Mus musculus: one gene and its partner. The main gene of each other region encodes a partner of the protein of the gene in region 2 in a complex. Links are inferred from orthologs where the notes say so. Each region holds a gene or a part of one and is shown on either strand. Other genes may lie near its edges.

Region 1 (6,163 bases), on a different chromosome or scaffold from region 2:
GCCACCCCCGAGGCCAGCCTCCCCAGTCTCAACACCAGGGCCTGCCTCACCCACCCCATACCTGTGCAATGGCATGGCCTCCCCGTGCCCCTTTGGCCAGCAGCCCCAGCAGCTGGGGGGAGCTGGAGGTGGCGAGGGTTGGGCATCAGGTGGGGGTTCTGGACCAGCCTCTCGGCCCCCATCCAGCCGAAGACGAGTGCGCCTCTGGATGTTCAGGTAGATGCTGAGGTTGAAGAAGGTAACGCTGAGGAAGGGTGTGAAGAACTCGAGGGTGGAGGCCGTGATGAGAAAGTACCAGTTGTAGAAGAACTCAGCATAGCAGTGGCCCTCGGGGATGGAGCTGCCACCGGACAGGTACTCCCAACTCAGGATGGCAGGCCCATACAGCAGGAAGGCCAGCACCCACACCAGTGCCATCTTCCGAACAGCCCGTCTTGTGTCCCCCTGCTGGGCCCGGTAGGAGACCTGCAGTGGTTTGTACAGATCAACAACAGGTCAGCAGCATTGGACTGGAGGATCAGAGAAGCCTCAGCTTCCGTGTCTGCTCTGGGTAAGGTGCCATGTTCCTTCTCTCCCCTGCTTGTGTCCCCTGCCTGCCTGATGCCCACACATTCTCCCAGAGCCTCAGAGCCTACCACAACCAACCAGAATCCTGTCTCTTCATCATCCTCCACCAGCTCCATGGGGTCCCCCTGACTTTGCTTGTGTCATTAGCACTGGCCACACCCAGAGGCCACACACAACTGTTTCTGATGTGAGGCTTCTTGCAAGGGCCAGAGAGCTGTCTTCAACGGTTTGCTGTGCTGAAAGGGAAGGGCTTTGTCCCAACTCTGCACCAGTATTTCCTTCCTCTCACTACTGGAGCTGGGAATACAGAAGGGAAACCTGCTGGCCCACTGCTAGAGACTCCTCCCACCCCACCCCACCCCACAAAAATTAAATAGTCTGTCTTCTTTTCTAGAAGGTGAATGGCTAGAAAAGGTAGGAAGGTGGGACCATCTAGTCTTTTTCCAAGAAACAAAGTAAGCTCCAAGTGCGCTGAGTAAGCAAGGGGAAGGGTGGCAGGAGGGGCCAAAAATCCTGCTAAGGGGCCTCAGAGGGACAGCTGAGACAAGTGTCCTTGACAGCCACCTTGGGAACCACACAAGCTAACCACAGGTCTAGGGTACACATGCCACATGCCAGCACTGTACTGGGCACCTTAGTCACAATAGCCCTGTGGTTCAGGGGATGGTACAGGGGACCTAGGGAAGCTCAAGAGGGCTCCATGCTGGTGCTCTTTGCAAGCATCCTCAGGATGCATCCTGACAAAACCTGAAGGGAGTGAGCCACTGAGAAGAGGAGTTGGGGAAGTGGGAGATGGACCCCCACTCCACACCAGTGTCCTCCTCTCCCTCTGCCTGGGTCCCAGAGCTATCTTACAACAGCCATTTAGGGGAGCGTGTGCAGTTAGGGACTGCGGCTTCCTGGTGTTATGTGAGCACGCCTTCATGCACACAAAAGTGGGAAGGATGAAGACCCTCCTTCAGTTCCAGGAATCCTGTACCTGTCCAGGATAGAGGATGGACCCTGACACCCCTTTCTGCAATAGTATGGAATTCCAAGCCAACCTCCTGCCTCATGCTAGTACTACTACTGGCAGCCAACGGTCACAGAAAAATGGCCCACCGGTCAAAAGGGAGCAAGACCATCTGCCTATAACTCAGGAGCAGCCATACCCTGTCCAGTGCTCTCCGACACACAGGGTAAACTCTAATGCCCACATCCCAGAACTCACAGCTCGAGTGACTGACAGGAATCGGTCATAGCTGATCAGCACGATGTTGAAGACTGAGGAGGCACACAGTAGGTAGTCTACCACCAGCCACAGCTTGCAGAGGCCCCGGCCAAAGGTCCAACGGCCGGTCAGCACATAGGGTACATACAATGGGATGCAGAAGGCACCTATAGGAAAGCAGCTGTGGTGGGACCATGGCTCAAGAGCTGGGGTCAGACTGACCACATAGAGAAAGGGCAGAGCCTGGCCTTCATAGGGTAGCCACCTTTCTAGGGCTAGTACTATATCTTATTTATCCTCCTAGTCACCCTGTCCCCCTACAACTGAGCAGCTGCCATCCTCCAGCCCATCAATGTCTTCTGGACCTGGTGGCAGGAGGAAGGACCTCCACATAGGGACCTCTGAACACAAAACCTGGGCTTCTGCCAGCCCCACCAACCGCCAAAAGAGGAAAATGGGATATATGTCCTCCCTGGCTTGATTGGCTCTGGAGCCGATCATCCATCTCTACCCTGGCTGTTGGACAGCCTCCCTTCTCAGCTTAAAAACCGAGAAAGCTTTTCTCTTGGCTTAAAGGGTTCTTGGCTGCAGCCGCGCCAGCCGCTCTCACCGCCCAAACCGGCTTCCAGCGTCTGGGAGACGCAGCAGCTCGCAGCCCCAACAGGTGTCTGGCGCTCCGGCCCCCACCGCGAGCCCCGCCCCCCCTCCCCCAGTTGGGAGCAGAGCTTGGACACGTGAGAACGAGCTCCTCGGAGCATTTCCCTCATCTCACCCCCCGCCTTCCCTACGGTCCCCTTCCCCAGCACACCTCCCCAAATCCCCCTTCCATGTCCCCTCCCCCCCAGCGTCCTCCCAGCATCCTGAGTCCGGCGCCGCTGCCTTTGTTTGGTTCGGCGCAGGAGCCAACGCTGCACCGGCGGTCGCTGCGCCTTGCGCCTTGCTGAGCGCCCGCCGGCTGGGGCAGCCTCCCCGGGGACATCCCTACCTAGCCCCCGTCTTGCGGCCCGGGAGGCGAGGAACTTCTCCCGCGCCCACCATCCTAAGGTTTCTAGAGCTCCTCTCCCAAGGCCGAACCCCTGAGAAGCCACCCCAGGTCGAAGCGCCAAGCCCCATTGCCCAGCCCGGGCTCCGCGCCCCTGGACTCTGGCAGCGGACAGGGTCTGGGGGCTTTACCCACGAGGAAGTCGGAGATGGCGAGGTTGAGCAGAAAGAAGTTGTTCTGGGTGCGGAGGCTCGAATCCGCCACGAAGGCGAGCATGACCAGCGCGTTGCCCAGCACTGTGGCCACGATGAGCAGCGCCATGAGCGCAGCCAGGACAGCGGTCCAGGCAGCCGAGAAGCCGCGCGCCCCGCCTGCAGCCGCCGCCTCTCCGGCCAGAGCGCCCGACGCGTTCATCAGCCCGTCGGGCGGCGCGCGCTCCATGGCCCAGCAGGCTCACAGGGCTCGGGGACACTGGGCAGGGCAGGGGCCGAGTGCTGGGTGGCCGGGCGGGGCCCCTGCTCTTGAGCCTAATCTTTGCCGGCTCTTCACCCAGCCCGGTTTTCCGGGGGGCGCCCGGAGCATGGTCCGCGGGACCGGAGCGAGAGCCGAGTCTGGAGTCCGGGAGGGTGATGCAGAGGGGGCTGGTATCGGAATCTGAGCAGAGTGGGGCGGGCTGCGCGGCTGCTGCAGCGAGAGCAAAGCCGAGCTCCAGCCGCCCGCGGCGCGTCGGTGCACCCCTAGCTCAGCGCGCAGCCAAGTGCGCCCCGCGATCGGCCCGCCGCCCCCCGCGCCCCGCGCAGAGCCCCCGCCATTGGCTGGCGCCCTCGCCCCGCCTCCGTCCCGCCTCCGCCCCGCCCGGCGCGGGCAGCACCACGGACAGCGCCGCGTGCCCGCCGGCCGACTAGAACCCCTGCCCCGGTGCGCACCGTGGCTGGCGGAGAGCCCGACTCGGGCAATAACCAGCTACAGGGCTGGGACCATGTCTGAGGTCGCACCTAGAAGCTGGTCCCTTGGCTATCCGTTCGCCCTCGTGCCCTCGCCCCTGGTGACCCCTGCCCGACCCTTGTCCGTAGCTCCTAAGCTTGTCAGGACCTAGGACACTGCCCGGGTGGGGTGGAGAATGGCTGCCCCGCAGCTCTAGGGAACTTGCGCCTCAGGACTCCCTTTCGCATCTTGCTTTGGGCAAGTAGGTTTCTGGGGTAAGAGATGTCCAAAGAAAGATTGGGGAGGGGTCCCTGAAAGTGATGCCGGGAACAGGGGTTCTCTCCAGCCTCATATGCACAGAACTGTGGGGTCTCAATCTCCACGTGGTTAGACAGAGCTCAGAACAGGGTCCAGGGTGACCTGCAAGGCACACACAGATGTGGAGTTACATAAGGGAAGAACGAGCCTGAGCGGACCCAGCCCAGAGCTGAGAACATTCACCCAGAACTCAGCGGCAGTGGGTGGAGGGGCGACCCACAAAGCAGCTTGGTTCGGGCCACGAATGCCCCCTGAGATACCTTAGTGGGGTGGTCACTGCTGCAGGGGACAGGTGAGGTCACTGAGTTCTGGGTGCAGCCGGGGTGGTGGCAGCTGCGTTAGTGCCTGTGGGAGGGGGAGGAGGAAAGCCGCCGGCCCCCCTTCTCTGACACAGATACTGGAGGTCAAGGACAGAGTCAGCAGCAGAGGCTCCCTGAAGACAGACAGACACACCCACGCTCTGACACACAGACATTCACATTCAGGGAAACAGCCACCCAGCATCAGGCTGGGACCCACGAATAGTCAGACAGCAGACAGACAGAGAACAGTGCCCGAGGGAGAGGGGAAGCAGTGACTGTCCTCTGTCACCAACAGCACACATCAGTGGATGCCTCAAAGTGGACAGAAATGTAGACGGTATGAGTGTGGGGGAGGGGGACCCCAGGCACCGCTTCAAGCACCCCACACTGACAGCCAGAGGCTGGTCATGTGAGGACCTGCCCCTCCCCCACCCCAAGTGGTTCTCTGAGAACTTTGGGCAGTGGGGACTGGCATTTCTCTGTTCCAGCCTTGGGGATGCTGGCAAAGAGGAGCCTCTACCCCAAGCCCATAGTCTCAGCCCCCCAAAGGCACCCTGGAAGCTTCTATGGGGGAGGGGTAAATTCCAATGTATCGTCTCCAGAAAGCCTTCTCTGATCTGCTCTTACAAGCAAACCCTTCGGCTCCCCTCCACAGCACACTGACTGTGTCCAGAGGCTGCACTGGGTTCAGGCACTTAACTAGAGGTCAAAGTAACATGTCCTGGAACTGGACAGCAAGATCCAGCTGAACTGGTGGGTACAATCAAGCCTGCCCTTCAAGCCTGTGTGTGGCCTGAAGGGCTTGGCAGGGCTCACTCTCCCAGTACTGTGCAGCACCTCCAAAATGCTTCTTTCAGCTGCTCTCTTTCTTCCCGTGAAAGTGAGTAGAACCGGACATGTTGCTCAGAAATCTCAGAGCCCTCAGGAAATGGGGTTGGGAGGGAATTTAAAGGGATCTTTAGATCTCATTAATGGCTGAATGTCCCCATCTTGACACAGGATTGAGGATGAGAGTCAATAAAAATTTGTAAAATCCCTATAAAGTCTTGGCCAGTTCCGGTCCCAGTCTTGGTTTTTTGTTTTTTGTTTTTTTTAAAGATTTATTTGTTTATTTTATGTATATGTGTATACACTGTAGCTGTACAGATAGTTGTGTAGTTGTGAGCTTCATCTGGTTGTTGGGAATTGAATTTAGGACCTCTGCTCACTCTGGTCAACCCTGCTCTCTCTGACCCAAAGACTTATTTATTATTATAAATAAGTACACTGTAGCTGTCTTCAGACATGCCAGAAGAGGGCGTTAGATCTCACTGTGGATGGTTGTGAGCCACCATGTGGTTGTTGGGATTTGAACTCAGGACCTTCAGAAGAGCAGTCAGTGTTCTTACCCACTGAGCCATCTCACCAGCCTCCCCCACCCCCCACCCCATCCTAGTCTAAAGTGCCCTGGTATTGGTCATTATTCTGATAAGTGGAGGCTGGGACCCTATGAAGAACTCAGGACTATGTGACATGGAGACTCACCAGCTATGTCTCCCTTCCTTCATGTGCGCCTATCCAGGCCTCCATGAATGTTGCTGCTTGTTGCCCACCCCCAGAGAACCACCTGGAGACCACTTGGGACAAAGAGCAGTTCCCTGGTGGTTTGTTACTATTCCAGCAGCTAGGTGGACCCAATTTAACCCTATTCAACTCCACTGCCCCACAGCTGTCTATGGTGCTGCTGTGCTGGTGTCATGGAATGTTCAACATACATTAAAAACAAACGAACAAACAAACAAAAACAGGCAGTATGCATCATGTCCTACAAGCCAGATCCCTGCACACTCCTAGAGATTCTGACGGGGCCAAGCTCCATAA
Region 2 (5,580 bases):
TGCTCAGTGTGTTTCAGGTTGTTTATGTGGGCATTCTCAGGGCTCACCAAGGTATTGGATAGAAACCTGGTGCGCTCCTCCCTGAGAAGTTTCTGCTCTCACATCTCTGATTTGTCTGTCACTCTTTGAGTAGAATTGAGGCCTCTTGGATTTTCTCTCATCTACTCTGGGATGTCTATTGGTGTTGTCCTTGTTTAGCTCATGCCTAGGCAGTCATGTGAGACTCTGTACGTAGCTTCTGACATTACTGTGAGATACACTCTCACATCCAACTCTAATCTTCTGGCTCTTACAGTCGTTCTGCCTCCACTTCCATGTCATTCCCCAGGCCTTAGATGCAGGAGCTAATTCACAGATGCATGAATTGGAGCTGGACCCCACAATTCTGTATTTGATTGTTTGTGGTTTTCTAAACATGTTTCATACTAGAGCTAACTGCATATTTGTCCACTTGATACTGTTAGAAAATATTATATGGCATATAACAGAAAAAATCTATTAAATCCCTCTTTTATAATAACCCAAATGACTCATGTGCCTTTCAGGATTCTTTGTGCTCCCCGCTTCTGCTCTGAGGTGCTCTGTTCCACAACTGGGTCTCAGCGTTTACCATGACAACTCAGGATACAAAGTGCTGCTGTGTTCTACAGCACTGCTTCTCTGCAGTCCACCACCATCCAAGATGTTCACTCTTTCCACATCTTTTTTTTTTTTAATTAGGTATTTTCCTCGTTTACATTTTCAATGCTATCCCAAAGGTCCCCCATACCCACCCACCCCCAATCCCCTACCCACCCACTCCCCCTTTTTGGCCCTGGTGTTCCCCTGTACTGGGGCATATAAAGTTTGCAAGTCCAATGGGCCTCTCTTTGCAGTGATGGCCGACTAGGCCATCTTTTGATACATATGCAGCTAACTAACCAAACCCAGATGGGTTCTGTACCACTTTAAAAAACAAAACAACGCAAAACAAGAAACTCTGACAGATAATACAAACAGTATCTCAGCTTTGTTGTATGTTTTCTTACATGTTTTGCTGGATCTCAATTCTTCTTCACCATTACACATCCTGAGATAGACTCTAATGACTCTATCCTGCCAACCCTACCCATTGTTATCACACCATACATAAAAATACCATGCAACGCATGGGAAATGCCACATGACAAGGCCCAGAGAGAAGTTGTGTTTAGTGTGCTAGACAGCATGAATGATACAACCACCGTCACTGAGTTTCTACTTTAATTGTTTTATGTAATAATAAGCCTTTAAAAATCCAATCATTCAGTGCTCTAAAATTTGTATGCAATGTCTTGTTCGGTTAAAGAAGCAATTAGAATATAACTCCTAAATTAATTACAAAGGCGTTTGTGTGAAGTAATTTGTACTGGGTACAGTACTCATAGGCAATACACATTCTGAGTAGCTAAATGACTGTGCCCCAGGGGCTTCCAGATCCATGAATAAACTGGTGAACACATTCTTTGATCTGACTTTCAGTCTGAACAAGAACAAAGTGTGTGTGTGTGTGTGGGGGGGGGCATATATGTGTTTCAGTGTGTACACATTCATGGTGGGAGCATAGGTACTGTCTACCATGGGAACTTTCCTGAAAGAATATATGATTGAGTGAGGGCAACTTCAAAACTGGAAACTTTATGAGACAGTCAAAGGAGAAGGAGAGATTAGCTTGGCTTATGCTTCAGTGCTAAAAACCACATTCAAGAAACAGTTGGAAACAGAGGCAAGGGGCTGCAGAGGGATGTTCAGGGTCTGACAACACAATTCAACAGCCAGCATGACCATGAAAGGACTGGAAATGGATCCCGGTGAAATGGCAACTTACAATGAAGAAGGAGGAGGTGCTTTGCAAGTCAGCAGACAGAGGCAGGATACACCCAAGCAGGTGGGGGCTACACAGGGTTTATCCATAAAACATAAAGGCTCATAGTCGTAAGAACCAAGTGCTCATGGTGATGCAGGAAGCAACGGAACCAATTCTTAGAGCAAGTAGTGCAGATCTGAAATTATAATCTTAGCACTTGGGCTATCAAATGATTATGTAATAGTCTTGTGTTTACCAAGGAACAAGTCCTTTCTGCTTCCACTGAGACCCTAATTAACTGCTTGGTGCAGGCCTAGGTGCAGATGTGTGGTGCACTGGGGTCTCAAGATGGACTATATCTGAGCAGGGCTATCCAAGAACCAATGCCAACAGGCTGCTCAGCGTCAACTTGGAAGCAGCATTCACGCAATGCCCACCAACAACCAGTTCAGTGCAGCATTGACTCAAATTTTATTTAGAGTTTGAGAAGTTCTGGAGAATTATTTTTTGCTTTTTCAAACAGAATGAGGAAAAGGTTAAGAACATTTACATTTTAGATTTAGAGTTCATACAAACCAGTGAAAGTCTTATATTTTAAAGAAACAGGATGGATATAAATATATATATGAAAACCAATTTACTTTGCTTATATATGAGGACTGGAAGGGTGTGTGGGGATAGATAGCTCTGGTCCTGGTATTCACTTTTTGTTTTGGAAACAGGTTCTCATATACCCTGATCTGTCTTTGGACGTTCTATGTAGACCAGGATGGCCTTGAAGTACTGATGTTCCTCTTCATCCCCCAAGACTGGGGCTCATAAGTGTGAACACCAGACTTGCTTTCAATATCAGCTTGGGATGTGCTCCAAGGAAGTAAACCAAATTAAAACCAAGGTTTTAACCCAGTTCCTAATTTTATAGATGAGGCACTGGAACATAGATAAAGTATCTGCTTTGTTTGAGATCACAGACCAAATTTTGTAAAAGCTAGGCCTTTACTCACAGAGGTACATTGTCTATGAGAGTCTCACTATTAAGGCCTGGATTTCCTATCAAAGTTTCCCTGGCACCGTGGAGGAAGTGGCTGCCTCTCTGGCTCCTCTTCACTTGTCTTCTTACAGTAATATTCATGGTCCCTCTTAGAAGCAGGGTGACTGCTATTGTTTATCATGAATGTGTTTGAGAGAAGATAGTGAGCAGAGACAGATCTTATCTTGTTTATCCAATCTGTGATCTGGTTATTTTTTTTTAACAAGTCAGTCTTTACATTTACAGAGACATGGAGACATCTCTGGAAATTACCTCCAAGCCTTTTCACAAAGCAAACCAGGGATGTTCAGAAAAACTTCTCCACACCTTAAGGGACTATTTGTGCTCAAATGCAGTTTGAAAAGTATGACACCCTCCAGTGAAAGAATTAGCATATCAATAAATTCAAACCAACACCTGCAAATCTTGCCATAGGGGGAATTTCACTCAGAAGCACAGGATTTGCTAGGTTACTCTAAGAGAGTGAAATACCTGCATATTCTGGGTAGCATATCGTGAGGGGGCTCTTTTTTATTTTTTCTTCGAAGAGGTCCTTCTTGTTGAGGAAAAGGATGATGGACGTGTCTGTAAACCACTTGTTGTTACAGATGCTATCGAACAGCTTCATGCTCTCGTGCATACGGTTCTGTAATTAAAAAAAAAAAAGAAATCATTTTCATGAACAGTGCAGTTTCTGAGGATCTGTTTTAAAAAGAACAAATGTGGCAACTGCCAGATCCTTTCAGCTGAAAAGCACGTAACACCCTGAAGGATGTCCCAGTTGGTGTCTCAACTCCAATTTTGTCTCTAACCTGTTCTGTCTGAGTCACTTTGGCTTATTTCAAAGTGAAGAAGAAAGAGCCTTAAAGGTTTACTCCCTGTGATGGAAGGGAAGCTGGCCCCGGGGTGAAAGCAATTAACTCCTGATGAAAAAACCCGAATGCCTTCCCTCTCCTCAAGCAACAACAATATACTAGACAACAGCTGGAGACCCTGCACAACCAGGGCTGTGACAATGTGACCAGATCACAGTTCGACCCAGACACTAGGACCATGCACACCCAGTGCTTCCGGCTTTTTCTTTTGCTCGTCTCAGCTTCTAACAACAGCCTAGGGTGCAGATACCCTGTTCTCCCAGGAAGGCTGTAATGAATGATTTTTTTTCCCTCTTCTTCCTGGCCAGCATCTTCTAATTAGACTTATCAGGTGACAGTTGGCCAGGTACAGTGGTTGTGGCTTCTATCTAGTCAGATCTGTGCTCTAGAGCTGATAATAATTCCAGAATACTAACTACATTCTTTGTCATTTCTGGACAAGCACAACATAGATGTTAGCGGGCACCTTGTTCAATGTCTTTCAAACATCACTGGCTCATGCCTGAGAGCTATAGGATGTCACAGTCAAGGGATGTCCACATGGGAACACATGGAGGAAATGTCACTGCTGCACAGGCCATCTAAGCTTTGCTTAGGAGGTAGGTGGAAGCTTTAAGAGCACTGTGTCAAATGGAGAGAGCTGAAATCCAATTAGCCCAGCACAGTGGATGTTAGAGAAGATGACTTCCAGTTCTTGTTTTCTATCCTTTCGTGCTGTGTTCAAAGAGGACACTGACACGTTTTACAGTGGGGAAATGCAAAAAATGTATGTTATGCCCCATTTCCCCCCATGACTGATGACGGTATGAACTTGATTTAGAAAAACCTGAAACCTGCCCATCATTTTCATATGTTTATAAGTGCCAGAGTTTTCAATGTATTAGAAAATACTTCCTAGAGTAATGGTATATTTATTGGATGTTACTTGAAAATTGTTTTTCTATAACTAGAGAAGTATAACATATAAGGAAGATTATAGACCGACAGAGTAACTCATGGGGAAATATGAGCCTTTGGGCAGATGCAGGCAATTCCCAGGTAGATGGATGGAGAAACACCTGTGCCTTCTAAGCATCGGTGCCCTCTGGGCTGCAGCAGAGGCGCTGAAGCAAAGAAATTGAACTTGCAAATACTTCGTTCATGAGCAAGGACTTCTCAAGGCTCCTCAGCTAAGGTCTTGGCAACGTGTGCAGCTCTGGACATTTCAGGCTGTACCCCTACAGCTGCTTCTACTTGCCATTTCTTCATCTTCAGCAAGAACCAGGTCATAGTCACTCAGGGCCACACAGAAGATGATGGCGGTCACCCCTTCAAAGCAGTGGATCCACTTCTTCCGCTCTGACCTCTGACCTCCCACGTCAAACATTCTGTAAGAGGAAAATGTACGATTTGACACCACATTAAATGTTCAAAAGCTCCGAGTTCTGTAATGCCAAAAAAAAAAAGTTTCACATAGCTTGGAGGCTGTGGGATGGGAAGAAAGGAGAAAAGGGACATAGTGGGAGGAAAAAAAATGTTACCAGTTAATTTTCTCAAAGGGAAAAATGTTAATAAATCATTCTTATTAAGCATTTGATTACAGCTAGAGTAACTATAAAGCAAAATCAAAAGTACTCTCCACACACAGCACATCTGGGTCCTTGAGATGGCCCAGAGAACGCCTAGCAGCCTGAGTTCAGCGCCTGGATCCTCTCCACACCCACTCTGTGGCATGTGTGTATGTGTGATATCCTGTGTGCATACACACACATAAACAAATAATAACAAATGAAAATTTAATTTTTTAAAAGCATAGACATCCATTAACAAACATATGAAAGCACTTGGGGACATCACAGCAGCTGAAGATG

Evidence for each region. Proteins that work in one complex are often made in the same cells at the same time.
Region 1: the proteins of Gnai1 (region 2) and Hrh3 are in contact, whole or in part, in a cryo-EM structure (PDB 8YUU), measured with the Homo sapiens proteins. The link is inferred for Mus musculus from reciprocal best matches to the Homo sapiens genes GNAI1 and HRH3. Residues at the interface, in NP_002060.4 of Homo sapiens: Ala31, Arg32, Glu33, Val34, Leu194, Thr219, Lys314, Asp315, Glu318, Ile319, Tyr320, Thr321, Thr340, Asp341, Ile343, Ile344, Asn347, Leu348, Lys349, Asp350, Cys351, Gly352, Leu353, Phe354; in NP_009163.2 of Homo sapiens: Asn69, Asp131, Arg132, Ser135, Val136, Ala139, Val140, Ser141, Tyr142, Arg143, Ala144, Gln146, Ile221, Ile225, Arg228, Arg232, Phe344, Thr345, Phe348, Arg349, Arg352, Asp353, Lys355, Val356, Ser359, Leu360, His416, His417.

Annotation. Positions count from the first base shown.
Region 1 is NC_000068.7:180,100,952-180,107,114, forward strand, and holds the start of Hrh3 (histamine H3 receptor), read right to left. Parts: upstream 3,457-6,163; 5' UTR 3,201-3,456; coding exon 2,951-3,200; exon of another isoform or gene 2,763-2,950; intron 1,945-2,762; coding exon 1,778-1,944; intron 466-1,777; coding exon 1-465. UniProt on the Homo sapiens protein: The H3 subclass of histamine receptors could mediate the histamine signals in CNS and peripheral nervous system. Signals through the inhibition of adenylate cyclase and displays high constitutive activity (spontaneous activity in the absence of agonist).
Region 2 is NC_000071.6:18,268,479-18,274,058, forward strand, and holds part of Gnai1 (guanine nucleotide-binding protein G(i) subunit alpha-1), read right to left. Parts: intron 5,098-5,580; coding exon 4,968-5,097; intron 3,502-4,967; coding exon 3,348-3,501; intron 1-3,347. UniProt on the Homo sapiens protein: Guanine nucleotide-binding proteins (G proteins) function as transducers downstream of G protein-coupled receptors (GPCRs) in numerous signaling cascades.